4 linked regions of the Diceros bicornis minor genome follow. The protein of the gene in region 4 interacts with the protein of the main gene of each other region in a pairwise test. Links are inferred from orthologs where the notes say so. Each region holds a gene or a part of one and is shown on either strand. Other genes may lie near its edges. The genes, in order: RNF8, ARPC3, RHOJ and WASL.

The links.
Region 1: the proteins of WASL (region 4) and RNF8 interact in binary tests that used the Homo sapiens proteins (3 or more experiments, as listed by UniProt). The two-hybrid records come from large-scale screens. The link is inferred for Diceros bicornis minor from reciprocal best matches to the Homo sapiens genes WASL and RNF8.
Region 2: the proteins of WASL (region 4) and ARPC3 interact in binary tests that used the Homo sapiens proteins (3 or more experiments, as listed by UniProt). The two-hybrid records come from large-scale screens. The link is inferred for Diceros bicornis minor from reciprocal best matches to the Homo sapiens genes WASL and ARPC3.
Region 3: the proteins of WASL (region 4) and RHOJ interact in binary tests that used the Homo sapiens proteins (3 or more experiments, as listed by UniProt). The two-hybrid records come from large-scale screens. The link is inferred for Diceros bicornis minor from reciprocal best matches to the Homo sapiens genes WASL and RHOJ.

The regions. Positions count from the first base shown.
Region 1 is NC_080753.1:27,699,407-27,707,259, forward strand, and holds the start of RNF8 (E3 ubiquitin-protein ligase RNF8), read right to left. Parts: upstream 3,002-7,853; 5' UTR 2,919-3,001; coding exon 2,808-2,918; intron 1-2,807. UniProt on the Homo sapiens protein: E3 ubiquitin-protein ligase that plays a key role in DNA damage signaling via 2 distinct roles: by mediating the 'Lys-63'-linked ubiquitination of histones H2A and H2AX and promoting the recruitment of DNA repair proteins at double-strand breaks (DSBs) sites, and by catalyzing 'Lys-48'-linked ubiquitination to remove target proteins from DNA damage sites.
Region 2 is NC_080774.1:8,970,411-8,977,449, reverse strand, and holds the start of ARPC3 (actin-related protein 2/3 complex subunit 3), read left to right. Parts: upstream 1-4,020; 5' UTR 4,021-4,112; coding exon 4,113-4,118; intron 4,119-6,304; coding exon 6,305-6,404; intron 6,405-7,039. Other genes in the region: GPN3 (GPN-loop GTPase 3), read left to right, coding at 488-616, 1,191-1,253. UniProt on the Homo sapiens protein: Component of the Arp2/3 complex, a multiprotein complex that mediates actin polymerization upon stimulation by nucleation-promoting factor (NPF).
Region 3 is NC_080763.1:12,449,264-12,456,697, forward strand, and holds the start of RHOJ (rho-related GTP-binding protein RhoJ), read left to right. Parts: upstream 1-4,415; 5' UTR 4,416-4,430; coding exon 4,431-4,608; intron 4,609-7,434.
Region 4 is NC_080742.1:73,551,417-73,559,014, forward strand, and holds the start of WASL (actin nucleation-promoting factor WASL), read right to left. Parts: upstream 3,009-7,598; 5' UTR 2,757-3,008; coding exon 2,640-2,756; intron 1-2,639. UniProt on the Homo sapiens protein: Regulates actin polymerization by stimulating the actin-nucleating activity of the Arp2/3 complex. Involved in various processes, such as mitosis and cytokinesis, via its role in the regulation of actin polymerization.

The sequences.
Region 1 (7,853 bases), on a different chromosome or scaffold from region 4:
TACTGGGGCTTTGGGGGGAAAATAAATAAATAAATAATCTTGAAAAAAAAAAAAGAAACTGATATATAATAAAGTATACCTGAAATTACACAATGTTATAAACCATTACGACCTCGATAAAATAATTTTGAAAAAAAAGAAACTAGAGTCTTGTCAGCTAAATGCAATGGGTGATCCTGAACCAGAAAAATAATTTTCTTCCTCTCGTTATTAAGGACATTATTGAGACAACTGGTAATATCTGAACAAAGTCTCTAGGTTAGATAGTATTATTGTATCAACGCTATTTTTTTGATCTTATTATTGTGCTGTTGTTATGTAAGAGAATGTCTTTGTTTTAGGAAACACCTAATAAAGTATTTAGGCGTAAAAGAGCATCATATCTGCATTTTACTCTCAAATAGTTCAGGAAAAAATAAATTTACATACATGTATATATATAGAGAGAGAATGATAAAGCAAAAGTGGTAAAATTTCACATTTTGGGAATCTAAAGAAAGGGTATTGGGAGGTCTTTGTATTTTTCATGCAACCATTCTGTAAGTCTGAAATTATTCCAAAATAAAAAGTTGTTAAGGGCTGGCCCCATGGCTTAGCAGTTAAGTGCGCGTGCTCCGCTGCTGGTGGCCCAGGTTCGGATCCCAGGCGCGCACCGACGCACCGCTTCTCCAGCCACGCTGAGGCCACATCCCACATACAGCAACTAGAAGGATGTGCAACTATGACATGCAACTATCTACTGGGGCTTTGGGGAAAAAAAAAAAAGGAGGAGGATTGGCAATAGATGTTAGCTCAGAGCGGATCTTCCTCAGCAAAAAGAGGAGGATTAGCATGGATGTTAGCTCAGGGCTGATCTTCCTCACAAAAAAAAAAAAAGCTGTTAAAAGTGAAAAACAAAAAGAAAAAAAAATTGCCACAGCCACTCCAACCTTCAGCAACCACCCTCCTGATCAGTCATTAACATCAAAGCAAGCCCCCTCCCAGCAAAAAGATTATGATTCTCTGAAGGCTCAGATGATGGTTAGCATTTTTTAGCAACAAAGTATTTTTTAATTAAGGTATGTGTTGTTTTTATAGACATAATGCTATTTCACACTTAACAGACTACAGTATAGTGTAAACATAACTTTTATATGCACTGGGAAACCAAAAAGTTTGTGACTCGCTTTATTGCAGTGGCCTGAAACCGAAGCGGCAATATCTCTGAGGTATGCCTGTATAGCTACTATTACTCAGGTGTTAGTATCTTCAACTTGTTAAACTTCCCAAAGGTATATGCTTTTGGAAGGGGTTGTGCAGAAAAAGATCAATGTTCAAGCTAAAAGAATGAAAACCTAATGTGGACTTTTAGGCAATGACACCTGGATAGAAGAGAGATTTAGGGGCAGAGGTGTTTTCCTGGTGTTCTTCAAATCACAGCATATAAGTAACCCTTTATAACCCCCTAATCTAGCAACATTTAAGGCTGGACGCGAATCCCTCCTCTGACTTGAGAAACCCCTCCTCTAGGATAGTACTAAGTAATCCACGTCTTGGCACTTGATCGTACAGCCTGCCTGGACCTTCTCAGACTGCCTCACTGTATAAAATCCTCTTTCCCCATTCAAGCGACAAACTCTTTGAAGGCAGAAGTCATTATTATTTGGCTCTCTTATAGCACGCCAAACAATGTAAGTCCTCCATAAATACCTGGGAGACTGAATTGAGACTGTATAGTTTACAGGATAAATCTAATTAAACATACATAATAATCAAAAGACTTCTTTATCTGTCATACAAATTATTTCCAAAACCCAAATGGTTCTCAGTTACCACAAGCTGGTCCCTGATCCAGCTTGTGCTCAAGCTCAAGTGCAGCAGCTCAAGCTGACTGCACTCTTAATTTTCTGCCTCCTCTTCCATAACCCCCTCTAGAACCACCACTCCAGTCCTAGGGCCTCCAACCGGAACGGTGCCTCACCTTTCCTCTTTAAAAAAAATTTTTTTTAAGTATTTTGCATTTATTACATTAGAAAACAATATAAGCAGCCTCTGGAGAAGAGACGCTTGTATTTCTGAATCCCTACTCCCGACCCCACCCAGGGGGTACCACTCGGCGGTACCCAGTACCCAGACTCACAGGACAAATGTGGCCACCCTAAAGCGTCCATTTTCCTCAAGTGTTGGAAAGGAAGAGAGATTTTTACAACAAAGTCAGAGTGTTTTAAGGGACGTGACCCGAAACTCGCAATCGTTTTCAAAACAAACTCGATAAGTTCACGCTCTCGGCAGTCCTTCCGGCTCCGCAGCCCTCGGCCCCTGGGCGGTTCGCGACTCTCCGGGAAGTTGGGACAGCTCCGCCTCACAGGTCCGCCGCCCGTGGAGGACACCGCAGGGCTCCGAGCGACCCAAACACGGCTGTCCGGTCCCCTCCCCAACCCAGCCGCCTCCTTCCCCTCGAAACCCCAGCTGGTCCTCACATCCTCTACGCCCACCTCAACTCGCTCTGCCCCTCTACCAGGCTCCTTCCCGCAGCCCGGCCCCCTGCCCTGCTCGCGCCGCGGGCCCAGGCCTCCCTCAAAGGGGCCATCTTTTCTCCTCCGCGGTCCCTGCTCCTCCCCCCACCTCCCACCTCGGAGCCACCAACCGCTCACACCAGAACCCCCTTCTCCCTTCTCTCCCCCAGGACCCACCCTTCACGTCTCTCTCCTCTTCCCCGCTCCCACCTCCTCTTTTCCATTCACCCCTCCCGCCGACGCCTTGGCCCCCTCCGGCCCCTGCCTCCTCCAACCCCCTTCCCTCGCCTCGGGAAGACCCCTCCCCCTCACCTCGTTTCCATCCTCCAGCAGCAGCCACTCGGCGTTCATCCCCACCCGCCGCAAACACCAGCTCCGGCCACCGGCGCGGTCTCCCGTAACCAAGGAACCGGGCTCCCCCATAGCCCACTCGGCCCTGGGTCGTGGTCAACACAGAGCGAGACCCCGACCCAGGTTCCCGCCGCCTCTACGCTTCCTCGCGGGCGCCATACCTAACAACAGACAGAAGCAATCGCTACGCGCTCGCCGCGATCGATGCGAACACTCGCTCGGGCTCCGCGCCCTGCTGGCTTCAGGCCAGCACGCGGAGTCACTGCGCCTGCGCGAGAGGAAGCCGCGGCTGGCAGCGCAGGTGTGGAGGCACCTAGCCCCAGGTGTGGCCGGGGTCGCCCAAGGCATTCTAAAACTCTGGTCACACCCTCTCGAGAACCATCACCCCAGTCCTAGCTGCCCCGAACTAGAACTTCTCCCTTTTTCTCTTTTTTTAAATTTTGCTTTATGACGATTTCCAGGATATTTAAAACTATAACTTTTAAACAACTTTAAATTTGTGATAATTTTTAAATCTAAGTCTGCTCCTACATAGCATCTATTTTGCACGAGCTCCTTTTACTAACGAATTTTTAAAAATATACTAGGCAAATCTATCGAAACAGAAAGCACAGTTACCTGTGGTTATGTGTGGGAGCTGGGTTTGAATGCAAATAGGCTTGAGTTTTGGGAGGTGATAGAAATGTTGTAAAACTGGATTGTGGTGATGATTGCACAATTGTGTATGTTTACTAAAAAGTCACTGAAGTGGGCCGGCCCTGTGGCTTAGAGGTTAAGTGCGTGCACTCTGGTGCTAGCGGCCCCGGGTTTGGATCCCGGGCGCCCGCCGACGCACTGCTTCTCCGGCCATGCTGAGGCTGTGTCCCGCATACAGCAACTAGAAGGATGTGCAGCTATGACATACAACTATCTACTGGGCTTTGGGGGAAAAAATAAATAAGATTATTAAAAAAAAAGTCACTGAAGCATACGTACACTTCCGGTGGATGAGTTTTATGGTATGTAAATTACCCTCAATAAAGCTGTTAATTTTAAAAAACAAAAACAAAAAAGAAAAAAACCTCAAACTCTTTCCTTTTGATTCGCCAGTGCAGTGTGGTAGCTGCTCCCTGTAGTGAATACCTCTTTGATAACTCAATGCTTTTCGATTTTCCAATACCTGGTTAACGATTTTCTTAAATTCTGTCAGAAGAAGATATACATACTAAATGAATCAAACACAGTGCAAAAGTAAATGGCTAACATTTATTGAGAGCTAAGTGCCAAGTACTAAGCCAAGCACCCTACATACTTTATCTTATTTGCTCCTCACAAACAATAGGATGATAGTGGTTACGATTATAATTCCTACTTTAGGGATGATCAGAAGAGGCACAGAGAGGTTTAGTAATCTTCTCAAAGTAACAAATTAAGTGGTGGAGTAGGATGCCAATTCAGGTCTGTTTTCAGAACCTAATTTCTTTTCTTTTTCTTTTTTTGTGAGGAAGATCTGCCCTGAGCTAACATCTGCCAATCCTCCTCTTTTTTTGCTGAGGAAGATCCACGCCCATCTTCCTCTACTTTATATGGGACGCCGCCACAGCATGGCTTGACAAGCGGTGCATCGGTGCACGCCCGGGATCTGAACCGGGGAACTCCGGGCCACCGCAGCAGAGTGCGCGCACTTAACCGCTTGCGCCACCGGGCCAGCCCAGAACCTAATTTCTTAACCTTGGTTGCAAGCCCAGCCAGGAGCGTCTTATCTGCGTGGCACTGCCAGATCAGGAATTTTGGCCTGTGATGTCAAAGAGGGTCAGGAAAATTGGTGGGAGCTGTAACTGCACACTCATGCAGACGCTTCCCTAAGCTTTGGATGGGTGTCTGTGGGTGCCTGTACCTCACCTTAGCATTCTGTCCCAGGAACAGCAAGTGTGCCTAGAGGCCATCCTGACATTTACTTGGCATGTCTCCTTAGGCTTTTCTTGGCTGTGAAGTTTCTTAGACTTCCCTTGTTTTTGATGACCTTGGTAGTTTTGAGGAGTACTGGCCAGGTATTTTGTAGAATGGCCCTCAATTGGGATGTCTCTGATGTTTTTCTCATGATTAGGCTGGGACTGTAGGTTTTGGGGAGGAAGACCACAGAGGTAAAATGCCATTCTCATCATATCATATTACGGGTACATGCTATCAACATGAATTATCACTCTTGATGGTAATCTTGATCACCTGGCTGAGGGAGTGTAAAGTTACTCTTTCCCCCCGTTTCCATACTGTACTCCTTGGAAGGAAGTCACTATGCACAGCCCACACTTAAGGAGTGGGGAGTTATGCTCCACTTCCTTAAGGGTAGGGTATCTGTGTAAGTTATTTGAAATTCTTCTGCATAGGATATTTGTCTCTTCTCCCCCATTTATTTATTGAGTCATTTATTTATATCAGTATGGACTCATGGATACTTACTTGATACTTTGGGTTATAATCCAAAACCACTTTGTTACTCAAATTACTCCTACTTTGGCCACATTACTCCCATCATTGTGTTTTATTGAACATTAGAAACCAACATCTGGGTACTAGGTGTGCTCGTTGCCACTGGAATGTTGTTGCTTCTAGGCTCTCTTAGATGACAGAGCAAGTAAATATATATGTGATTACTAACCCCTCTATATCTATATATCTATGAATATTTATGTATGTATGCATATATATTGTATGTATGTATGTAACAACACATGTATACATACATATACATACTTGTCTATCTCTATCTGTAAGCTAAACATGTGCATACTGATGTCTTACAACTCTAATGCATTACCACCTGGCACCTGGACCATTCTAGTCATTCCCCCCTTGCTTATCTGTAACTTTCCATTACCTAAGTGAGAAGCCTGGCTCCCACTATCGCCATCCATTTACTTAATCGTCATTTCCAGCATACATGTGTAGTGGTTTACTCAAGAATCTCCTTACCATGAGCTTCTTGAGGGTGTGTCTTAATTTCCACTGTATTCCTGACATTTTTATTGAATGAATGAATGAATGAATGAAGCTCAACTAGTAAATGGCAGTGCAGGAAACTGAAGCCAGAGCTGTGAGCCTGGATCTCTCTATAGAGCCCCAAACGCTGCACTCATTAGAGTCTAGCAGTGGTCTGTAAGGTGGAATGGCCATACCCCAGGGAGCACCCAAGATGACCCATTTGCTTGTGGAAGAATATATCAGGATGTCTAAGTAGGTTTTAATTCCATTCGTTTAAAAATGTCCACTTTTGTGAATATTTTATACTCAAATAAAAGAACAACATAGAGGATATGCATAGACTTTATATGAATAAATAAATATGCATATATTGGGCTGTATGCTTAGACTTTGTTTTGTTGCTGAGTGCACGATCAAAACAGTTTGGAGACACTGCCTTCTAAGATATGGAGACTTTATTAACTCCACCTCCCCTTTATATTCCTTCATCTCAGTGGTTCTCAACTGGGGGTGATTTGCCCCCCAGAGGACATTTGGCAATGTCTGGGGACATTTTTGATTGTTATGACAGGGGCAGGGGTGATGCTGGCATCTAGTGAGAAGCCAGAGATGCTACAAATCACAAGACAGCCCCTGCAACAAGAAATATCCAGTCCAAAATGTCAATAGCAGTAAGGTTAAGAAACCTTGCCTTATATCCATCTCAAGAGGGAAAAATTGAGGAGAAAGAGCAGGATGCAGAAAAGGAAGTAGGGTGTTATCTAGATCTGTGGATTTGACACCTGGCTCATTACATGTGCTCAATTAATGTTAACTGAACAGAGCTGAGGAATGTTAGAAAGAGTTGACAATGGAGAGGCTTAGGGAGTGGGAGAGGAAAACAACAAGAAGAGGAGGAAGCACAGGACAAGAAGAAGAAAGGGAAAGGGAGGACAGAAATACGGAAAGGAAGTGTGGCAGATTATTTTCCAAGATGATTACAGCAAGCTCGCCCATCCCACTTGCTCTTACAGTGTGACACTGACACCCCTCATGTTGCGAGATGGTGTCTTTATTTCCTCCCCTTGCATCTAGGTGGGCATGTGATTCCAGTAGAAGTGATGCTATGCCATAAAAGGTGATAGCTTCCACCTGGCCTTTTTGGGCTGCTCTTGGAACCCAGCCACTGTGAGGAAGTGGAGAGAACACAGGAAGAGGCCACATACAGAATTCTGGCCAACAGCTCCAACTGAGGTCCAACTGACATCCAGCATCAACTGCCAGACGTGGGAATGAAGGTGCCCCTAGATGATACCAGCCCCCTGACCATGAGTCACCCCCAGCCTTTGAGTCTTTCCAGCTGAGGCCCCAGACATCATGGAATAGTGATCCCTGAATTGTCATCCCTGTTGTGCCTCATCTGAGTTCCTGACCCACAGAGTCTGTGAAAATAATACAATGGTTGTGTTAAGCCCCTTAGTTTTGGGGTGTTCTGTTATGCGGCAATACAAAACTGGAACAGGAAGGGTGTGGCAGAGGAGCTCTTGGACAGTTGTTGATTGTGTGCTTTATATATTAGAGTAATGCTGGCTGCTGTAACACACAAACCCCAAATTCCAGTGGTTTACCACAATAGAAGTTTATTCCTTACTCACGTAATTGTTCAGTGCAGTGTTCCTGGTCGGTGGACAGCCTTCCACTAAGTCATTCAGGAACTTGGACTACTTTCATCCTATGGCTTCTCTATTTTTCAGGGCTTGGGGTCCTCTGCATCCAGAAAGCAAAACAGGGAAAGAGAGAATGGAGAAGGCACACCTGCTTCTTAACTGTCTTGTCCCAAAAGTGACACATATTCCTTCTGCTCACATTTTATTGGAGAGAACTGGACACACGACCCCACCTAGATCCAAGTAATGTTGGGAAACGTAGTCCCTGGTTGATCAGCCAGTTCCCAGAAACAACTCTATACTATGGAAAGGGAAGCATGAATTTTGGGGGACAGTGAGCTGTCTCAGGCAAACCTTAGAAATCAAGTAAATGAATTAAAATGATGATGATGCTAGAGCT
Region 2 (7,039 bases), on a different chromosome or scaffold from region 4:
GCACAATCCAGTCCCATTTCCTTGCAAAGGAGAGGAGGATGGTGGTAGGCTGTGGGCTGGCTGGTCAGTAGTTTAATTTAGAAGTAGTTATTGGCAGTAGCTAATAAATTAACTGACATGTCTCTTATTCCAAGCCATTTTGAGAATTCAGAACTATCTGTGCCCTTGTAAAGTATCCAGTGGTTATTGAATACCTAGAAATTATTTCACAGATATTATATATATGTGTATTATATTTTCATAGATAAATACCTATGAAACAATGTCTAGTTATGTAATAAGTTAAAGAATGTTCTAGTAGGTCGGAGATCAGAAAAATCAAGGATGATTTGCTGTTATTCTGTCTCTATCTACCCCTCCTCCCCCTTCCCTCCCACAGAAATGTTTTTAATCAGAAGTATAAATGGTTATAAACTCAACTATAGATTGAAAATTAAATATTTTGTACAACTTCAGAATGACCCTTTCTGAAATCCCCAACTTGTAGATTGATGACTACAGCATGGTTCGATTTTTGCCTTACGATCAGTCAGATGAAGAAAGCATGAACATTGTATTACAGCATATTGATTTTGCCATTCAGTATGGAGAAGACTTAGAATTCAGAGAACCAAAGGTAATTTTTGATTATTGGCTTTCGGTAAAAATGTTTGCCAGCGCTCACTGGCCTCCTGCATAATCCCAGCAACTCTTTAAATTAATTTTTGTCTTAGTGGCAGCAGTAACCTTGGCTTTTCTGGGTGATCTCTGAAATTGACACCTGGGCTCAACAAGCAGTGTCAGTTGTACCCTACCTGTTATCAAGGCAATATTATTGAGTTTTCTTTGTCCTCACAGCTCGGGGGTGTGTGCAAAGAGGAAGTGAAATCCAGTTGAACTTGGGCTGCCTTCACATATGTCAGTGGAAAGACCAGGGATAGTTGTCAGTAGGGCGCTGTCACAGCAGATTAGCTGAGAATTGGCGTGAGTGTAAGCTCGAGTAAGATACGCTTCTAATGAGATGTAGCGCTTGAGTTTACCACATATCTGGAAAAATACTGTCAGTCATGCCTTTTGTCACTATAGACGACACGTGGAACTGCTGCTGGGCGTTAGCTCCTGGTAGAGCATGACCTGGAAAATGTCAGCACACACTTGGTCTAACTGAGGGGAAATGATATATTTTCTATTTTGTGTTTCCTTTGTGTCAGGAACATGAAGATGAGTCTTCTTCTATGTTTGATGAATATTTTCAAGAACACCAGAATGAATGAAGAGTTTATTAAAAGTGACTATATATATATGAAGAGCTTGTGACTGAACCAGCAGAATATTCTTGTCTTCAAAGGATGCAATACTAGAAAGCTGCTTATTTTAATGAAAAAAATAATACTTGGCTTTTTATCAGCAGCATGCCTGAATCAAGTTCTGAGTTATTCTGAAACTGCTGCTGTTTAACAGCAGCAATTTAGATTTTAAAAGTCGAAATTGAAATGAATGCACATAGATTTGTATATAATATAAATTAGTCCCTGTGGTACAGTTAAGACCACTCTACCTTTATTTTTATCATTTGTTATTTTTGAAGGTTTTTTGGAGGGGCAGAAGTTATTGTAACAAATATACATATGTGTGTCCAAAGGAAAAAATCCAGAAGAATATAGATAAGATCATTGCTTATCTGTATCTTCCAGTTTCCTACATTGAAAATGTATTATTTGTATAATTAAGAACTGAAAAGTAACTATGTTTTAAGATATAAATGTATATAAATAAAAGAAATAGAAAGATAGCACTAACTTTTCATTACACTCTTGTTTTCCAGTCAGAATTTAAAATACTCAGCCAGGACAAATTTTTGAATGAGTCAATTTCCCCAAGCGTCAAAATGTAGGCAGTGATTTCTTTTAAAATGTTTGTAGTCTCTGAGCATTTAAACATTTATACTTTCCTTGAATAATAACAGATGCACACAAAAATATAAAAGACGTAATTTTTTCTTTTTAACTTCCTGCACATTGAATTGTTTATTTTCGGTATTTCTGAGTTCATTTGGGTTGGGTGGAAAGCATGAGGAATGACTGGTCAATCAACAGGTATTTCTCTGGCACCCACTGTAGGCCAGGCCCTACTAAAGCAAAGCGGAATCTCATTTATCGAGTTCTGCCAGGCATTGTGCTAAGAAGTGTTTTACATAATCTGGTTCATTTAATCCTCATAGCAGGCCCAGGCTCCATTACTCATTTGGCACTGGATCTTCCAGCTGATACAAATTAATCCCTTATAGAAAAGCTGCAACTCAGGTTAAATTTTTAATCATTCTTGGGCCTAGATAGCAGAAGTACACCTGCAGTGTCACATTGGATCCATTTTAATCAAAGGCAAAATTGTGAGGAGTCAGCCATCAGGGGTAAGTTGTGCCTGGAGCCCAGGCTCGGGGCAAGAGTCAGGTATTTGCACCAGGGTGCCTTAATGTGAGTCTTCTCACAGGGGCAATCGGGAGCACGTGATGAGTGGGCAACCTGGGGATGTGCTGTCCTGCCTGGGGACTTTTCCTGTGGCCTTTAGTGTGTAGAAAGTGTGAAAACACCCTGAGCTCCTCATGTTGCTACTTTTTAGAAATTTTATTGTCACATGAGAGGGGAAGAAAGAAAAGGCAACTTTTCATTCACCCTCCTCATTGCTCCTGGAGCTGTACCTCCCTGGTTTAGCTTCTGGAGAGTCTGGTTTGTCCCTCTGGGCAAGAAGTGAAAGGCCAAATTCCATTTCCTTCCCCTCTGAACACTGGGGTTTCAGAATGAATATGACAGTTCCAATCTTCAAGGATTTCCCTGTCTTGTAGGAGAACCTGACGTGATTCTTCAGACAAATTTACTGGTGGGAACCAGGCACTGAGGATAAAATAGGAGCACTCAGAGCAGCAAGGCCCCTCTCATGGAGCTGAGGTGCTGGGCTCTTGAGACTAACCACAAACAAGGAAACCTGATAAGGAATGGGAAGAACAGAAAACAGTAATGAACTGGGGAGTGACTAAGGGATTACTTTGGGCTTGTTGTCAAAGAAGCCTCCTAAAAGGTACTATTTGGCCAGAGCCCTAAATGAGAAATCAGTTGTGGGAACATGGGGCAAAATATTCCAGTCTGAGGGACTGGCAGAAGAAATGGCCCGAAGCAGCAATGAACTTGGCTTGTAACATGAGGTGATTTCTAGTAACCTCTCTGTGCCTCAGTGGGGCCGTGCGCTTAAAAACGCCTGAGCTTTCAGTATCTTCCAGGCATTTAAGTTCTAAGCACTTTACATGCAATTCGTTTCATCATCACAAAACTGAGGTAAGTACTGTTATCTCCATTCTCAGGTAAGGAAACTGAGGCACAGAGAGGTTAATTAACTTGCCCCAAATTACACAGCTAGCAAGTATTAGAGCTGAGATTCAAACCCAGAGTCCACTTGCTCAACCATTACAGTACTGCCCCATTGCAAAGAATTGCAGTGCGGAGTAACGCACAAACCCCTTCTTCCCTGTGCTCGTTTCCCCGTTGTTAAAACCAATGGGTTGGGTTCGTTCACTCACTCAATAAGTGTTTATTGGTGCTTACTATGTACCATCACTGTTACAGGCGCGGGAGATACAGCAGTGAACAAAACGGACAAAATCCCTGCCTTTTTTACGCTCATATGGATGGGGAGACGGAGACAAACACCAAAAGTAAACTAGATAATAAAAGAACCATAAGAACTAAGGGAAAGAAGGGTGAGGCAAGGGGGTGGAGTGGGGTTGAATTTAAAATAGTGTGACGCAGGGAATGCTTCACTGAAAAGCTGATCTTTGAAGAAAACAAACGAGGTGATTAATCACTGGGATTCTGTAACTCCCAAACCCATCCCCACTGCGCACACGCCTCACGCATGCGCGACACGCGGTCCCTGCCTAGTGCTCGGGCGCCCCCTGGCGCCCCTCCGGATCCGCGCAGCCGCAGCAGCCAGCGGCGCGACAGCAAGCCCGGAAGCGCCGCGTCCTCCCCTCGCCCTCCCCTTCCGGCTCACTTCCGCCTACCCCGCCCGGGCCGCCAGACCGGAAGCGCCGCGCTCTAACCTGTCTTCCTTGTCTGGCTTGAAACCCGGGCGCCGCCGAGATGCCGGTAAGGGGGCCGGTCGGGGTGTGGGGAGGCGGCGAGAACTGGGGAGAGCGGCGAGGAATGGTGCGTGCGCTGAGACAAGCGGGCCGAGGAGGGCGGCGGGGAAGCAGGGGCCTGAGGAGGAGAGAGCGAGGGCAGGGGCCGGTCCCTTGGAGTTGGGGCGCCCGGGGCGTCGGCCGTGGGGGCGGGGGCGCGGCAGAGAGGGCCAGAGACCAGGGGCGTGCGGAGGAGGCTGCCCCGGTCCTTTGCACCCCCTTCTCCCCAGTCCCGATCCCTTCTCTCCCCCTTTCTGCACCCCGACTCCGGCAGGGTCCCCAAAGCCTCACTAGCGCCGCGAAGCCAAGGGCTGCGCTTTTATTTTTCATTTTTCAAGTCCGGGGTCCGGCTTCTCCTTTTCGCCTGCAGGCCCACTTCCTCCTCCGCCCCAGGGGGCGGGTCCCTCCCGCTGCCTGTCGTCTGCCAGACCCCGCTTCCCCGGCTCCTCCCCTGTCGCCCCGGCAGTGGCGGCCACCCCTGAGCTGCTGGGTTTAGGGCCCCAGAGCAGACTCGGGTCCGCGCCTGGTTTCCAGATGTTTCTGTTTTCTTGTGCATCGGGAGTAAAATTGATGGTGGTCTGATTGCTCTTAATTTCTGACAGCCAGCCTCTGGGGTAGATTTATCACCGTCATGGTCTCCATTTTGCAGATTAGGAAGAAGCTTCAAAAACGTGACTATTCATACAACAAACATTACTGAGCACCTGCTGCATACCAAGCACTGTTACAGCAGAGCATAAGGCCAACAAATAGCTCCTCTGAAGGAGTTTACATTCTAATGAGGGGACAGACAATAAACACGTAAACGTAAAGAAAATGAAGGAGATGGTTTCAGACAGTGACAAATGCTATGAAGGAAATACCAGATGGGTAACAAGACAGCAGCTGCTGAAGGGGAGGGTGGCGGCTGCTTTAGGTGAAGCAGACCTGTGATGAAAAGGAGCAAGCCATAGTTACAAATGTGTATTTTATGAATCCCATAGCTACCATTTGACTCCTGATGTGTGCCAGGCAGGCCCTGAGCTGCACACTTCATATAAATTATCCCATTTAATCCTCACAGTAACCCTAGGAAGTAGATATGTTGTTGTTTTCTCATTTTGCAGAGGAGGAAACTGAGGTTCAGAGAAGTTAAGTAACGTGCCTGAGGTTGCGCCCAAAACGGGTTATAAGCCGGGGACTCTAAAGCCCGGTGCTTATTCCAGTTGCATGTAGAGCACCCTGGACTTCCCTTGTGATTGCTTATTTAATATTTGTCTTTTTCATGAGCCTGAAAGTTCTTCAAGAGTGGAAACCATACTGGTCTTGCATCCCATTATATCATGGTGCCTTGGATGTAGAAGGTGCTTAGTAATCGTTTGGTGAATGAATAAATATATGAATGGGGCCCATGTTGCCTTACAAAAAGCCAGACATTGTGTAAAAAGCGGAACTACGAATCAGCCTACAAATTGCTCTCGTTAATGTGATTTTTTTTCTCCTTCTTTAACTCACACCTGCTCTCTGAAGGCAGTATCTGTCTCTTCATTTTACAAATTTAGAAACAGGCTGAGAAGAAAAGTGATGTCTTGGTCAAAGACCAAGCCAGGAAGTGGCAGACCTGAAAAGCCACTGCTTGGGTTCTGGCTTAATAGCAGCTAGGGCGTGGGTACCCCTGATTAATATAGTGTTTGCCTACTTCTGTAGTGTAGATACTCCCACCAGGTACCAATGTGATGTTACTGAACATAGAACGGGAAGAGATGCCCAGTCACATCCCATTATATAGTATTTCCACCATAAAGATACAAAGACATAAATAACCTTAAGATCATAGACAATAGTGAAACAACTTTTAAAAATAACAAGTAGTGAATTTTGAGTATTCATTACCTTTGTTTTTAATACTATTTTTTAACTGCAAATTTATATAATTTAATTTTTAATAATGGCTGTGTTCAACAACCAACTTGGCTCAAAATTTCTCAAAATTTAGCAGTCAGTTTTCATGAGCCAGTAAGAGCCAGCTCCAGCACGTCGATGCCACTATCCCTCTGCCCCCTCCCCTGGTTAATCTTGGGTGGGTTGCTCTTTTTTTCCTTTGAGGAAATGTTCTTGTCTGCTCTGCTGACGTTGCTCTCTGCTTCTCTGTTCTTACCTGGCTTGCCACCACAGGCTTACCACTCTTCTCTCATGGACCCCGACACCAAACTCATTGGAAACATGGCCCTGTTGCCCATCAGAAGTCAGTTCAAAGGACCTGCCCCTAGAGAGAGTAAGTTGAAACCCCTTTCCATTATTTTCAGATTTTGGTATGAAACATCTAGCAATGCTCTGATATTACCCAATTGGGGAAGTCCTGTGCCTCAGATTGCTCTTGTGTTTTCTTTTTTTTTTTTTTTTTGTGAGGAAGATCAGCCCTGAGCTAATATCCATGCCAATCCACCTCTTTTTCTTTCTTTCTTTCTTCTTTTTTTTTTTTTTTTTTTGCTGAGGAAGACTCACCCTGAGCTAACATCCGTAGCAATCTTCCTCCACTTTATATGGGACATCGCCACAGCATGGCCTCACAAGCGGTGCCTCGGTGCGTGCCTGGGATCCAAACCCGGGCTGCCAGCAGCGGAGCTCGAGCACTTAACCACTAAGCCACGGGGCTGGACCCGCTCTTGTGTTTTCTATTTGCTTGGTGGATATTGCTTTCTAGACCTTTCAAGATCATGGGTATATGTTGCATTTAGTAGGAAACTGTATTATTGCTGCTCATTTCTCCAGGGTATTCTATCGAGGGGGAAAAAAATGCTTCAGTCGTGACACTGTTCCTATCATCTGTGAGTTCTTTCAAACTAATCTAACACTGCTACATCTGTAAAATGCCGTGTCCCTGTCCTTTCTCTGTCATCAAAATGGAAA
Region 3 (7,434 bases), on a different chromosome or scaffold from region 4:
GCCTTGATGGAGAAACAACCCAGCACCATCTCAACCTCAAATTTCTCCACCTTCCAAAACTTACCACTCCAATTCCGAAGATCAGGAATCAATGGGAAATTTCCTTCTAAACTATTCCCTATCTCCTGATTTTCTGGATTACGTGAACTTGAAAACTCCCTAACCTCTGGGTTTCTATGGAGGGAGACCAAAAAAAAAAAAAAAAATAGTCAGATCACCCACAGGACTCTCTTGCTCTGGGACAAGGCTTTGTACTCAGAGTTAAGGTACACAATAGTGAAACACAGAAGAAACACATGCATACACCTTTACCATTACTGGCCAAATCAGCCTCTTCTTAGGACAGAAAGAAGTCCCCATCTACCTGACTTTTGCAAGTAACCTACTTCTATCAGAATTAAGAGATTTGGCAAAGAAAGAAAAGCCCTCCGAGCAAGAAAAAAAAAGCTGTTCTAGAAGTATACAAAGATCATATCCAAGAAAATGTGGCAGATATATGATTATGATATGGTATGATATGGTATATGATAACATGGGCAATAGCCAGAGGCTGAGTACAGGTGGCCCCTGACAGATAAAAAATGCAGATACATGATGGCAATGACCCACCCACCTTAAGGAGGGGCAGTTCCAGTCCAGACCAGTCCTAGGACAACCCGTTAAGTTTTAGCAGTGCCCCAACTGATCTTGAGGTTTAGGCCCAGTGGGCGATTTGGGTCAGAGCCTCTAGAACTACGCAGCATCTCCTGCCTCACACCATACCCACCACCACCGGAGGCCTGACATCCATATGAGCCCTAGAGAGGACTTTCTCTGGAACGGGGTGACTCGTGACTAGGCTGGGCATCCCAGAATCATAGCAACCACAGCACATCCCACATTCAAAGACTGGAGTCAAAACAGTCTTTTCCACAAAGGCTAACCCAAAATCAGAGTGTCTGGTCCAATTGCATTATTTTCCCATGTAACTTCTACTTTCGAGCACAAAAGAAGGAAAAAAAGAGAAGAAAAGTCTGGGCTTTTGTATTAAAGTCATACTAGAACTGGAAGTAATCAGAGGAGTCAGAATTTTATGCAAAAATTCTTTGTTGGCATTTGGGAAAATTCATATGAAGCCAAAGCTCAGAGGACAAGAGGGAGCCAAGGAATTAAGATCTCTTGGAAAAAGCAGGAAATATCGCCCAAAACGATTTCACCATGTACTGGTAAGTTTGTGTAAACTTGGTGCTTGAGGTAAACCAAATAATTAATGGCTATGAAACCACCACTCAATCATCCACATGGCCAGAGATCCAAAAGTACAGGCATCTGGTAAAGAATATTTTAGCAAACGGTCTTCATACCACTTCTAAATTCATACCTATAAACTTTGGAATTAAAGTGTATTCTTGACCATTGTGCCTGGGCACAATTCTGTGGACTCACGGACCTATAAGATCAATGCTGAATTGTCTTTACTTTTCTTTTTTTTAAGATTCTGTTACTCTGTGTCAGGTGAAACTTTTAATATTTAGAAAGATTTATTCTCGTATGGACAAGGCCATCCATATAATCAGCAGGCTACTAAATTTTAACTTTTTTTTGCCATTTTCACTAGGATGTCTCAAATAATTTTCCCTATAAATATTCGATTGTGGGGGTGGTAAACAGTGATGAAGCAAGTTTATTTCGAGAAATATAGCCAACATTCTCAATGGCCATGACCCATCTTTGCATGTAATCCAGTCTGGCAGATGTGCCAATCCTTTGAGTTAGAGGGAAAGGACCCATGACTGGCTGCTTCCAGTCTCCCAAACGTCTCCATTTGCAGTTCACATAGCAATCGTCATGGATGTAAATATCTGGGTCTGATGGAGCAAAGTTTAGGTTACACACAGATGTAGCAAAATTTCACCTGATCCAATTTCTCAATTTTTTCCTAGGTCAAGTGCTCTGTAGGCTGGGGTGTATTTGTGATGTAGGAGTACCCGCTGAGCAGCCACGTTTGAGGACTCCATATTTGAATGGAGTATTTACTCCATGCCACATTTACTGCCTGACCTCAGGGACAAGGCCAAAGTCAGAACTCCCTCAAAGTTCTGCCAAACACATATCAACACGTGCTGAAAGTGGTCTTGTGCATCTTCAAGATGCACTTCTTCACACTGCCAATCACTCCTTCACCTGCTGCCACCTTCACACTCAAGAATTTTTTCTAGAAGAAAACGTGTTTTCAAGTTGCAATTTTATCATCACATATTCCAGATGTTTCAAATAGACTAAATGAATATAAAATTACGTAAATCACGTGCAGTCACAGGTGCCTTCAAATAGTTCAGAATGGCAATAAACACAAACAATTCCATTTCGTATTGCTAACTTAACCTCAACTGAACTCTCTCAGTCATTTAGGCTAGTCAACAATATTGGTTCTCTCCTTCCTGGTACCAGGAAGGATGAAAAGTGGCAGGATTATAATTCTGACTCTGTTGAACCCAGCAGGGACATGTGACCTGCTTTGGCCAATGAATGTGAGCAGAAGTGTCACCTCTGGGGGAAGCTTTAAGAGCCAATACCACTTCACCACATTAATTTCTTCCTCTGCCATGGTGATCATCAATATTCTCCATGTGGCTGCTCTACCGGCCAAGATCCTTGAGTGAAGATGACAAAAATACACAAAATAGATACAATATGAGCAAGAAATACACCTGTTACTTTAAACCTTTGAGCTTTGGGAGTTGTTTGTTACAGCAACATAACCTAGTAGATATACCACAACCTGACTGAAACACCATCCCTTTACAGGAAAGAAATCTCAGGACGCTAAGCACAATGGCAAATGTTAGTATAATCCAAAACAGAAGAAATCTGGGGATATATCTATTATACAGTAGCATATAGATGTGTATATATATAATTGATACCACCTATTGAAACACTTCTCTCCCACTGCCTCCATAAAAAAAAGACCTCCTCAAATCAATTGGGTAATCTGAGTTCTTAAAAATAAGTGGTCAAAAATCTCAAAGAAACAGAACTCCCCCATCAAAAAAGTACTTGACCCATTTGTCAAAATCATTTGCAGAGTACCACTTCTTTTCTAAGACCAAGTACATTAATCAAACGCAGAGCTTCAAAGGGGCTTCATTTTGAGCGACCCAACAGACAAATAAATTAGCTGCCAAGTGCTCCTTTGTAATTGAAGAGGGCCAGGCTGACCCAAGGGGAGAGGACTAAATCAAAAAGAGAACGATCCATGCAAAAGCAGCATTTAGGGACCTGAAACAAACCAATAAAGCTGTCCCACACACTCTCATTTCCAAGAGTGTGAGCCAAGCACATGTGTGTTTATTCACTAATAAGAAGATGCAAACATCCCACATCTGATTGATTTCTTATGTGCTACAACCATAAAAATGTTTGTGTCTGGAATACACGTTTGCACGTTGTGCTCAAATGCGGCAGCTTATAAACGTGATCACACATATTATACCTATGACCCACAAAAATGTTTCCCTTCGGAACAATGTAACTCTCGAAAGTTCTCTTCTTTATTGCAGGGATGACTTGCTTAAGGTTTCTCATTCAAGTGTGTGAAGAACTGTCCATTTTTAATTTACAGAGCTTTTAACTGGTGACTCAGTGAGGGATGATGTCATCTGTTATCCTACAACGGCTGGTGTGGTTCTCTCTGTTCACTTAAACCGTTCCCTCTGTTTCTGTGGCAGACAGTCCTCCCCAGTTTCCATCCTTTCGTCAGCTTCTTCCCAGCCAGCCACAGGCAAACAGCCTCCCCAGCAGTGGATGAAACAGGAAGTCTGACAGCTTGAGCCTGCAGCGGGACCCCTAGTGTTTTCCCACTCCATGTCCTGGCAGCGTTCCCCCGAAGTACAAACACACACACAGAGCTCCTATTGTTGAGCCTTCCCCAGCCCACTGATCCTAATATGGAATGCAGCAGGAAACCCATGATTTCCTGACACTCGGCAAGCTGGAGGAAGCGAGGGCAAAACTCCATTAAAAAGCCCAGCCTTCCTCCATGTTAGATGTGAAGTGGAAAATGGGGAAGATTTAGCAAAATTCCACTGTGTCTTCCGCCAGGCTGGAGAGGGAGGAGAGCAGAGTGAAACCCTCAGGCTGCTGAAATTTCCAGACTGCCAGGAAGCCCCGAGAATTTGGTGAAAATGAGGGTTTCTTAACTCAAACTGATAGGGAAAAGGAACAGACCCTTTGAATAACTCTCCCAAGTGTGTGTTCCCTTTCTTTACCAGTATGGTAAGCAAGAGGGCATACGCCAGCCGCCTCAGACAAGTCTGTGTGAGCCAAGGTCCTCAACGGAGGGCAGAGCGATCTTAAGCCTGCCACTCGCTTCCCGCCACTCCATGGGCTTCGGGAGGAGCAGGGGAAGCAACAGCAGCAGCACAGGCGCAGCAGCTGGAGCCTCGAGAATGAACTGCAAGGAGGGGGACGGCAGCAGCTGTGGCTGCGGGGGCCCCGAGGAGAAGACGATGCTGAAGTGCGTGGTGGTGGGCGACGGCGCCGTGGGGAAGACCTGCCTGCTGATGAGCTACGCCAACGACGCCTTCCCGGAGGAGTATGTGCCCACCGTGTTTGACCACTACGCAGGTAAGAAAAGGTGGGAACCTGCCCCTGCAGACGGGGTGAAGCACGCGGGAGGCAACAGCCCAACCTCAGAGGGGCCTGGCTTCTTGCTAACGTCAGTACTGGGTGCAGGCCCGGCGGCAGCCAGGTGGCTGAGCGTCACACACGACCAAGCACTTTGCCAGAAGTGTTAGCAGTTCTGGACGTCAATTTGTATTGTAACGCTTTCTTTTCCCCTTAAATCAGGGAGTGACGCTGGGGAAATACCCTGAACTGCCCTCTAGGCTTTGGGGCCAGAGATTTTACTCAACATTTGCCTGAAGATTCATCAACTTTTTATTGTGAACATTTTAAAATGTAGTGTAATTGCATCACAACTCTTTTTTACCAAAAAAAAAAAAAAAATCACCACTAACCACATAAACAGTGAAAGGAGTGTTCTTGCCACTTTTCATGTATTCGTCTCATGCCATTCATAAATGCAAATGCTGAGATTAACAAACACTAGAACACTCATTTTTCTATAACAATTGGTGCTGTGTTACTATTCTTTCATTTTCCTGGAGCTGTAGATGGAGGGAAAAGCATTCAATATCTGTTAAGCAATCTATATCTTGAATTAAAAGAAACGTCTTAAATTGATATGTCTTTAAAAGTAAAAATAAAGACAAAAATAAAATTTGAATCATTTTAAAGTATGTCCCAAAATGACAAAGTTGGGCAGAAAATATTTTAAAGCATGAAAGTTAAGATACTGTCGTCACAACTTAATTCTTTCAGTGATTTTTTTTTGGGGGGTTCTAAAGCTTGTAGGTGTGCTTGTCAGTGTGATCGCTTATCTAAATTTTTCCATTTGACTCTCAGTTTTTTTCTTAATTTCCAAAACAAATATCATTAAGTTTGTCAAAAGCAAGTTCATGAAATTCTTCAAGTTTACAGTTGCCTGTATTTTATAACTCTTTTGAACATAGTGATCAGCTTGGTGAATTATCAGAGATTTGAGATTTTGTAAGAGGAAAATTTCTCCCCTTTCACCATGGCCTTGGGTCAGGTTCAGCAGAGGGGAAACAGCCCACAGGAAACCTGTGTGAGTGTTGGCTTTGCTATGTGGCCACAGAAGATCCTCTTTCTGTAGGAAGTAGCTTCTTTTCCAGAACTAAACAGTCACCTAAGTCCCCTCCTCCTCCTCCATTTACACGATTTATGACAATATTACACCACAGACAGGGAGAGAACCACAGTGAAAATAGTATCCATTTCCCAGCACATTTTTCTATATTTGCAGAAATTAAGAGCAAATTTGAATGCTGGCTGCCTTAAGCTTTTCTGAAAATATAATGACTACCCCCAGAGAAGAACATTTTAATGAGAACAGAATAAAGAGAAGAACAGGTAGACTTTCACTTGAGGAAAAAAACTTATTATAAAATTAGGAGGTCTGCAATTTAAAAAAGTTACTGGGATACTAGACATGTAAACATCTTAGCAAAGGTTATCTGTTCTATACCCTCTTTCTGCCAGGAAAGGGAAACGGGCTGGGACCTAATTTCAAAAACTTTTAGATCAAAGGTAGAACCCAAAATCTACTAAAGGGAGAAATTGCAAGTGTTTTGAAAATTATGTATCCCATCCCTATCTATTGGGTGAACCAATTACAGAGTAGCGTCAGGAAGAAAGAGGGCAAAACCATCTTTGGAGATAAAGATAGCCTATTGAAAAAACACATTAGAGACCAAACAAAGACTGAGCCACCACTAGATTCCACTAGGATCAAATTGTTTTATATTTCACTTGTGTATATACTTACTGTTATTTGAGCATCAAAGCATCTTAAAGATTTTGGCTACTCTATGATTTTAGCTCTCAAGAAATCACAGCTACTGAATCCAAAGCAATACTTTGCACATAGTAGGCCTTCCCAAACATTGTTGCTTTGTTTTACACTTTGTACTTTTCTAAGTACACAATCATCTCATGTGGTTTCAGTCAGGTTGTAAACGAAATGAAGACACGAGCCACATCCGACATTTCTGTTAGCGGAGGGATCTTCGCCAGCTCCCTCTACCACCACCCTCCTATATGAGCTGACTGAACCTAAATCCTTACACAGTCACAAGAGAATCTACAATCAATTGTAAAAGAACTAACGCTCTCTTCTTCACATGGAGAAGTATCCAGTATCCAGTCACCGGGTCCTACCAGCTCATTCTGAAGTGACAACCTGCAACTGGTTTACTGAGTCATTAGAACATTGCAGTTCAAGTCAAAGAGATCCTATCCCTTGAAAAAATATTTTTCCCTAATAGCTGCCCATCCCAGGAAGGTAGGGACATAATAGTAAGGATGGAAGTACAGCGTAGTGCTCAAGATGGTGAGCTCTGAAGCCAATGGGCCTGGTTCTAATACTGGCTCTGCTGTTGCTGTGTAGCCTTGAGCAAGTTACTTAACCTCTCTGTGCCTCAGCTATCACAAATGAAAAAAGGGACAATAGAGGTATTAGGATTGTTTGTGAGAACAAAATAAATTAATACATGTAGCTCTTAGATCAGTGCCTTACACGTGATAAGTGTTAGGTGCATGGTAGCTATTATTATTAAGAACAAGGTCTCTACACTTGCACACAGCTATGAAAGGGAATTAAAATATAATGAAAAGATAAAGAATACAACAAGGAAAAATATAATTCCAAGAGTATCCTCCAAATGGAGTAGGGTGTGATGGAGTGTATGTCTTGTCCTTATAATATAGTTACCAAATGTACTGATAATTGATAAATATGGTGTATTAGTAATTGCTAAATACGTCCACATAGAGTAATAGTAGTGGGACATTCACTTGGAAGAGGAACTA
Region 4 (7,598 bases):
CTTTTACTCATCCTCTCTTTTGATCCCCTAAACCTTTATAAAAATAACAGCATCCATATATTTACATACAGTCCTTCTAATTCACACAACCACCCCATGAGACAGTATCCCTATTTTAGAGATGAGAAAACCAATTCTAGGACAGGGAGCTTAAGAAACTTGTCCAAAGTGACTACATGAGTTTGAACTCCGGTCTGCTGACTACAAAGCCAAGACATTTTCCATTGTTACATGCAGTGTTTTAGACATCACTCTGAAGTACCGACTTCATCAGTTTACACATTTGTTTTCCTTTTTAGACACAGTAAGCTCCTTGAGGGCAAGCATCAACTTCAACATTTAGTTACTCAATACATATCTGTTGAGTGCGAGAAGGAATGAAACTCGAGAACTGGGACTATTAACTATGACTATTCCTGTCTCATTTCTGGAATCTTAGATAGGGTTCTGACTACACTTCTTGCTTAACAAATTTGGTCTGACCTGTAAATCTTATTGCTGGATTTTTTTATGAGACCATGTATTTCAGTGTTGTTTTAAACTACAAAAAACAGCATAGTCAGCAAAGGGAAAAAAACATTGTTCCAAAAAATTAAAATATCATTCTTACTTTACTCTCTAATAATCGGAGACTTCAAATATTGAAGTTAATCTTTGCAACAATTTCATACCACAAGAGCAGGTAACTATAACAGTGTGGTTTTAAATGACAGAAATACAAAAGGTAAAGTTGATTAATAATAGATGACATAAAGAAATTGAGCACTGAATACTGACAGCTTATTCAGCAATTCACTTATGCTAAACAGTAAGCAACACTATCTTTCTCTATCACAGTATTCTTCCACATCTGTCATTTTTTGAAACCAGTAACCATTACAGGTAAGCAAAGAGCAATTAGTTAGTATACTTGTGCGTAAATGTAATGTCCTTCCTGCCTAAAGTTATTGCATCTGGTATGTAAAACATAGAACTACTTCATTTCTAATACAGATTACATAGCAAATGTAATAAACCAGAAAATTTTTTTTTTCATTTGCAGATAATATAACATTCAACGTGCTCGAGATTACCCTAAATGGAAAATAAGAAAAAATTAGTGCTTCTTTAAGAATCTTACACTTTAATCATATCAGTTTTTGGTGCAAAAAAAGAAGTGATTACTCCTTCAACACCACTTTTAGAAATAAGTCCATAACAAGAAAAAAACCCTTCTAAAACAACGTGCTGCAGTGGAAAGCACAACCGACTAGGCATCAGGAGTTTCTGGTTACATTACTAACTTGTTGTGTGACTTTGGGCTCACTGGCTCAGTTTTCTCATTTGTTTAAAAAAGGGAGGAGGGTGGAGGCTTGATTATCTTTAAAGTTGTAGGTCTAACTTTTGAAACACATCTGAATTGAATGTAATGATTCAAACTCCAACAGGATGGCATAGGATACAAAGGGTAGACTCCTATCAAGTTAACAATTAATCCGATAACCTCCAGAAATTGTCTAATCCTAACTTCTTGAACAAGCAGGTGTAGTCTGGCTTGACACATTTAACACTAAGAAAAGTTGTAAAAAGTATTGCGCTGTTGACATTTCGTTAGGTGTTTCCTGGGTTCCAGTGGCACATACTCTGTAGGTTCTAACAAGCAAAGAGGGGAGAAAGGGACCCAAACAACGTTTCAACAAACTCAACCACAGTTCCACCCAGCCACCGCAGTTAAGATGCAGCCTACGAAGGCCTGCACCATCGAGCAGAACCTCCCCACCCCCAGAAGTGCCAGCAGCCAATGTAATGAATGCTTCCGTCAACAAAACACATTCCCCTTCCCACAGAACTGCTTGCTCCCAACCGGCCATCTGGGGTTGGAACAGGCCGCACAGCACCAATCTAAAAACCATTCTCGGGCCCCAAAAGGCCAAGAACTACTCGAGATTGCGGCTCCCCTGCGCACGGTTATGGGGAGAGCAGCACCTCCCACCGATGCAAAGGAAAAAATCAGTGGGGAGGAGAGTAGAAACCAGGCCTGGGCGAGACTGCTGGAGAAATAAACTGTTTCTCTGCAATGGGGAGCGGTAGCATTTCCTGCCCTCGTTCTGAACCGATGCCCTCGACTTCATGCCCTCCTGAGATCAGAAAGGCGGATTAAAAACCACCTTATGGTTCCGCTTCATTCATATTTGGGCTTCCTTCCCCGACCTACACACTCCTGAAACCTCTGGCATTGTGAAGGTACTCCCAGATCGAGCGGCAGGAGGTGAAGCTACAGGGCCCAGTTTCTAAGACTAAGCAGCTCGTGCAAGAAGAAAATCCCCGTGTGGCCTGAAAGTAAAGTTTGAACCAGCTGCAAGGGCGCGGACCCGGGCCTGGCCAAGCAGGGCTCCAGGGCCGGCCTGCGGAGGTGACACTTCCCTGCTCCCGGGCAGCGCCGGGAAGCGGCGTCCGGCCGCCCCGGCCCGCACTGCTCGCACCCGGGGAGCGAGGCCAGTGCGCCGACGCGGGGCCGGGGCGCGGGCCGGCGGGAGGCCTGAGAGGCAGCCAGACCGTCCCCGCGCCGCTCCCGCCTCCTTCCCCACTCCCAATTCCCGGCCCGCCAGCCCGGCCCGTGAGGTAACGTCGGGGGTGGGACGCGGGTCTCGGCCACTGACCACACATTTCTTGCCGAGGAAGGTGAAGAGGGACTCGTTTTCCTGCGGGGTGAGCAGCAGGGACCCCACGTTGGTGACCCTCCGCGGTGGCGGCGGCTGCTGCTGGCCGGAGCTCATGGTTTCGCCGGCTGGGCTGGGCGTCCAGGGCCGTCTCCTCCAGCGAGTGGGCGAGCGCTAGTCCCCCCTCTCGGTGACAGGGCGGGAGGAGGGGAGTCAGAGGCGCAGCATCTCGCAGCTCCTCCGGCGCGGGGAGAAGGCGGCCAAGAGAAGGAGCAGCCGACCGGGGGCCGCGCCGAGAAAGAGAAGCTCCCCGCTCCCGACCGGCTAGGCTCTGGCCGGATGGCCGTTGTCCTCGGACTCCGGCGACTGCGCTAAACTCCCAACTCCTCCTCCAACCCTCCTTCGGCGGCGGCGGCGGCGGCGGCGGCCGCACAATCCAACATGGCAGCGGGGGCGGGCGAGACCACAGGACGCAGGACGCGGGGGAGCGCGCCGGAAACGCGCGGCTGCAGACCGGGCCCCGGGAGGAACCCCCCCGCACGCCGCGGTCGGCCCCGCCGCGCCGGCCCGAGGCCCCGCCCCTTTCCGGTCGAGACGCGGGCTGCGCGATCAGACGCGGGGTTGCGGTTCTGGGCGCCGGAACCGGCCTCTTGACTTGTCTTTTGGGAACTCGGCCCCAGCGGCTGCCGCCTGGAGAGAGGAGGATGCTCGTCTCCTCTTTTGCAGACGTACACCTTTACGAAGCGTCAGCGCCGCCCTAGGCCCCCCTCCCCGGAATAGCTCTTATTTCTGGGGCGCGGAACCCGGATGTTCACACCGCATTTGAAAAAGGTCTGGAAGCTGGAGACGGAAAATTGGGGAGAAGTGACGGGCTCCCTGGGCTGCTCGCCGGTTTCGGTTAGAGCCGCAGGTGCTTGGGGTTTCTCAAACTTTGTCCAGACTTCAGCAGTGGGAGTGGAGGAACAAACAGGCCTCTCCCAGTATTGTGAAAGAGAGATCTTGCTGATAGATGTTACAAAAAACAAACGCACGTAGAAAAGATTTCTACCGCCCGCCTGGTGTGTCACATGGGGTAAATGTATTTGTAACCTTTGACTTCAACGTCTTTTCTCTTACGGGCCCTGAACACATTTTTTCCCTCTGTCTTGTGAGTTGGAAAATATTCCTTTTTTTCCCTTTCTTGCCTTTTTCTCTCAAACCCCGAAGCCCTTGTTTACTTTTTATCCAAAATGAATGTGCCCATTTCGGGATGTCAGACAGGAAAATAGATTATCTGGTTTAATCCTTAAAAGTAAATCTCAGGTGTTTTTTTTTTTTAATTTGTATGCCTCAGAATATTGAACGTTACCCAAGATAACCCCTTTTATTCAGTAAGTTAAATACTAAACAACTGTTGTAAAATGAAGTTTTGGAATATGGAAATGATAAACGATACTACTGTGAACTATAGAATAAGCATCTGACTTCTCCACTTTAAACAAATTAGCATTTATTGGATAAACTGGACCACCATGTTTGCTAATTATTCAGTTTCAATAAACAAAGAAGTTACCATCTATTAAACTTAAGACATCCATTCTATGCCAAATAAAATTTGGTAAAACGATTTGATTTTAATATCACTGATAGCTTCCAATACAAATCTCGGGTGGACTAAACAGATTGATAAACTATTATCGATGCACTTTGAAAATATTACAAAAATTTTAAATTAAAACTGGCTTTGATGAAATTAGCTAAGTAGGAGTAAATCTACAAAGGAAAATGAGATCATGTAGTCCTGGGAGTCCTCACACAAACTATGGATATTTCAAAATTAAACTTGATTAATAATGTTAAGGGAAAAAGTGATTTAAAAACAGCTGGTGGACTTTTTTAGAAAATAACTGAGTTTAGAAAGGCAATAGTAGAAATGCAAACTTGGAGTTGCCTCTGGATTACAGAGCTAGCAAAATAAACCTAGAAGATAAATCAGTTTGTTTTTTCTATCAAAAGTGAGGTTCCTATAAATTAAAACCAGAGTGATAGTGGAAAGCATTGCAAATTCTTGAGAAATGATAGAAGTTAGAGCCCTAATATCTTCAAACGTGTGAATCAGGATAGTAACAAGAACAGGCTTCAGATAGGCCTAAATTGGAGTTCTTTTTCTTCCACTTAAAACCTTATACGCTACCTCGTAAGCTTTGGAGGAGTTGCTTCTCCAAGTCTCTGTTTCCTCATGCGTAAAATGAAAATAATTTGTATTTAATAAAGGTGTAGTATAAATAGAGATAATTATACCTACTTCAAAGTAAAATTTACCAAGATAGCATATGTAAAGTACCTGATACATAGTGGTTACTCAAATATTACTTGTCCGTCATTAACCATCGTTGCCTATGGTCTGCTCTGCCTTCTCTTAGCTAAGGGATCAAGAGTGGAGATGTATATTTTTACCTTTGTTCTAAGCCTGATACTTCGAAAACTGTCCTTCATATTTAGAACTGTATGTAATTCTCTAAATATATAATGGTGAATTTGGGGCATAATTTGTTAGGAGAATTTCTAATTAGGCTATATATTATGTCACGTTGGCTATGTATGTCCCAGTATACCGAATAACAAAACTTTCAAAACTATAAATCTAGAGACAGAATCATATTAGTTTCTAGTTAATAAAAACTGAAAGGTAGCAATTTTTATGCTAGAATGCCAGCTTTTAAAACTTTTAGTCCACCCAACTATTTTGAAGATGGTAGAGAGAGAGATGTGGAAGAGGGCTGTAAAAAAAAGAAGCTAGGGGAGGATAAGTGAATGGACAGTAGTTATGAAATGAGGAATCTGTCCCATGCTGAGAGCTACTGAGTTCCAATCATTTCACAACCTCTTGTTGGCCTAGACTATTTATTGTTTTAATTGCTTTTTTTTTCTTTGTTTCAGGAAAATTTTAATATTTTAATCTGTTTCCAAGTGCAATTTTCTGACTATTTGCCCTTGTTCTTTTTTCTTTGGAAATGAAGATTGAAAATTGTAACCACCATAGACATTTTTCTCAAGCCCAAACCATTTCTGTAACTCTTCCTCAAAATTTTAAATACGGCATTTTGTCTACAAAATTGCCATATAAGTTCTTATTTCCTACTCCGTTGTTATTTTTCCTTTTCTCTCGGCTTTTTCTAACTCCTTGTTCTTAAAACCTGGGAAATGTAAGCGTGAACATTGCATTGGAAATATGACTTCCTTACTCTTTGGAGTATGTGCACAGGCAATATTTGGGGTTATGCCCCCTTACCATGCATACAAGGATTCTATTTTTCTGTGTTCATCCTGAGACCAGGCAGTACTGGCTGTATTTGTTTCAAAAGTTTCAGCAAGTCCTTTCTTCCTTTCATTCTTGATAGCATATCCTCTATTTGGCGGAACACAAGACATCTTTCTCTCTGTTTTCTTTGGCAAGTTATTTTCTTATCTCAAATTCTTTTTACCCAGTTTGAGAGACTGGATTTGATCCAGGAAATGAGAAGGATTCTATTTCCCTTCAACTAAGTATCTTGAAGTTTGTAAGCTAGGTTAAGAAAACTGTAGGGAGTTTATCTTCATACATATATAAAATGCGTATGCTGTATTAAAATGTCTATAAATATAACTAAGAATAAGGCAATTCTGAAGTTTAATTTCTTCCATTTGACTTTCCTTGACTCAATTAGAATCTATTCTAGTACTTTTATTTTCTTCTTTCTTTGCCATGATCCTTTGAGGTAAAGTCCTCATTTTAACAGAAAACGTTAGAGTAGCTTAATTATGGAAATGAGGGCATATTTTCAGATGCATTCCCTGCTGTTATCATTGTACTTTGCAAATTTCTCCTGTCCTCGTTCTTTGTTAATCTACTTTTCTTCTTTATAAATATGATTGTTTGTGTACTGTTACAAGTGCTCTGAAACACCCTGTTTCCCATGCTAATATTAATAGTTTAAAATGTAGTGACCCCCTTCATTGTAGGGGAGCATGGAAGGAGCTGCACGCAGGGATCTATGGCATTCAGCAGCCATTGTAGCCATAATTACTGGTACTGACATGATGCCTGATTATGGCAGAACGGAATTTTAGAGCCAACAGCAAACCTGGATACTGCAAGGGTGATGAATGTCACTTCCCCCGTGCATCCGCCAAGTGTCATGGGTTTAAAATGTTTACGTTGTAAAAAAAATCCCTGCACATTTTTGTGTAAATGTTGCATATAGCAGTGTTGAAGAGAATTTGTCCTAGTACTTGTTTTCCGAAGTTAAATGTTAACTATTTTATTTTTTATCAACTAAGATCTTGAAAAGTAAGCTAGCCAACTATTTTTCTCTCCCTCTCCCTTTACAATTCATTTTGAGTACAAGCCACTTTGGGGCTTACTTTTTTAGGAATAGATAGCTTATTTACAATTCATTTTGATTTCTTATTGATGTTAATGGAAAATTGAATTCTTATTTGCGCTAGTGAATTACCAGTGATAGTTACTACCACTGTATGGCCTCATCTCCAGATACCTAATATATAGGTATCTATGTATTTATTCACATTTATTCAAGAAATGATTTGAAGAGCTAAATATGTTACAGTACCCAGGATGCCACTTACTGGTTTTCTCGCCACTGCTCTTTACCTTTAATGAATAGTCAGTGGCTCTCAGTTTAATTATTCCAGATGAGAGGGAGAAAATATTGGCTTCTTTATTATAATGTGCTCAAGGTCAATTTACATTATGGATGAGTAGGCAGCCGGGATACTTGTGATAACCTGAAGATGCCATTTGTCCCCATTACCTCACTGAAAGTATTGGGGTGAAGCATATGGTGTCCTCTACCATATAACGTTTTTTAAATCAATTTTTAGTTTTATAAAAGTTTTATAAAAGTGATCCATGCACATAATCTAAAAAATAAGATAGTACTACAAAGGTTATAACAACAACAACAAAATATGAGCTCA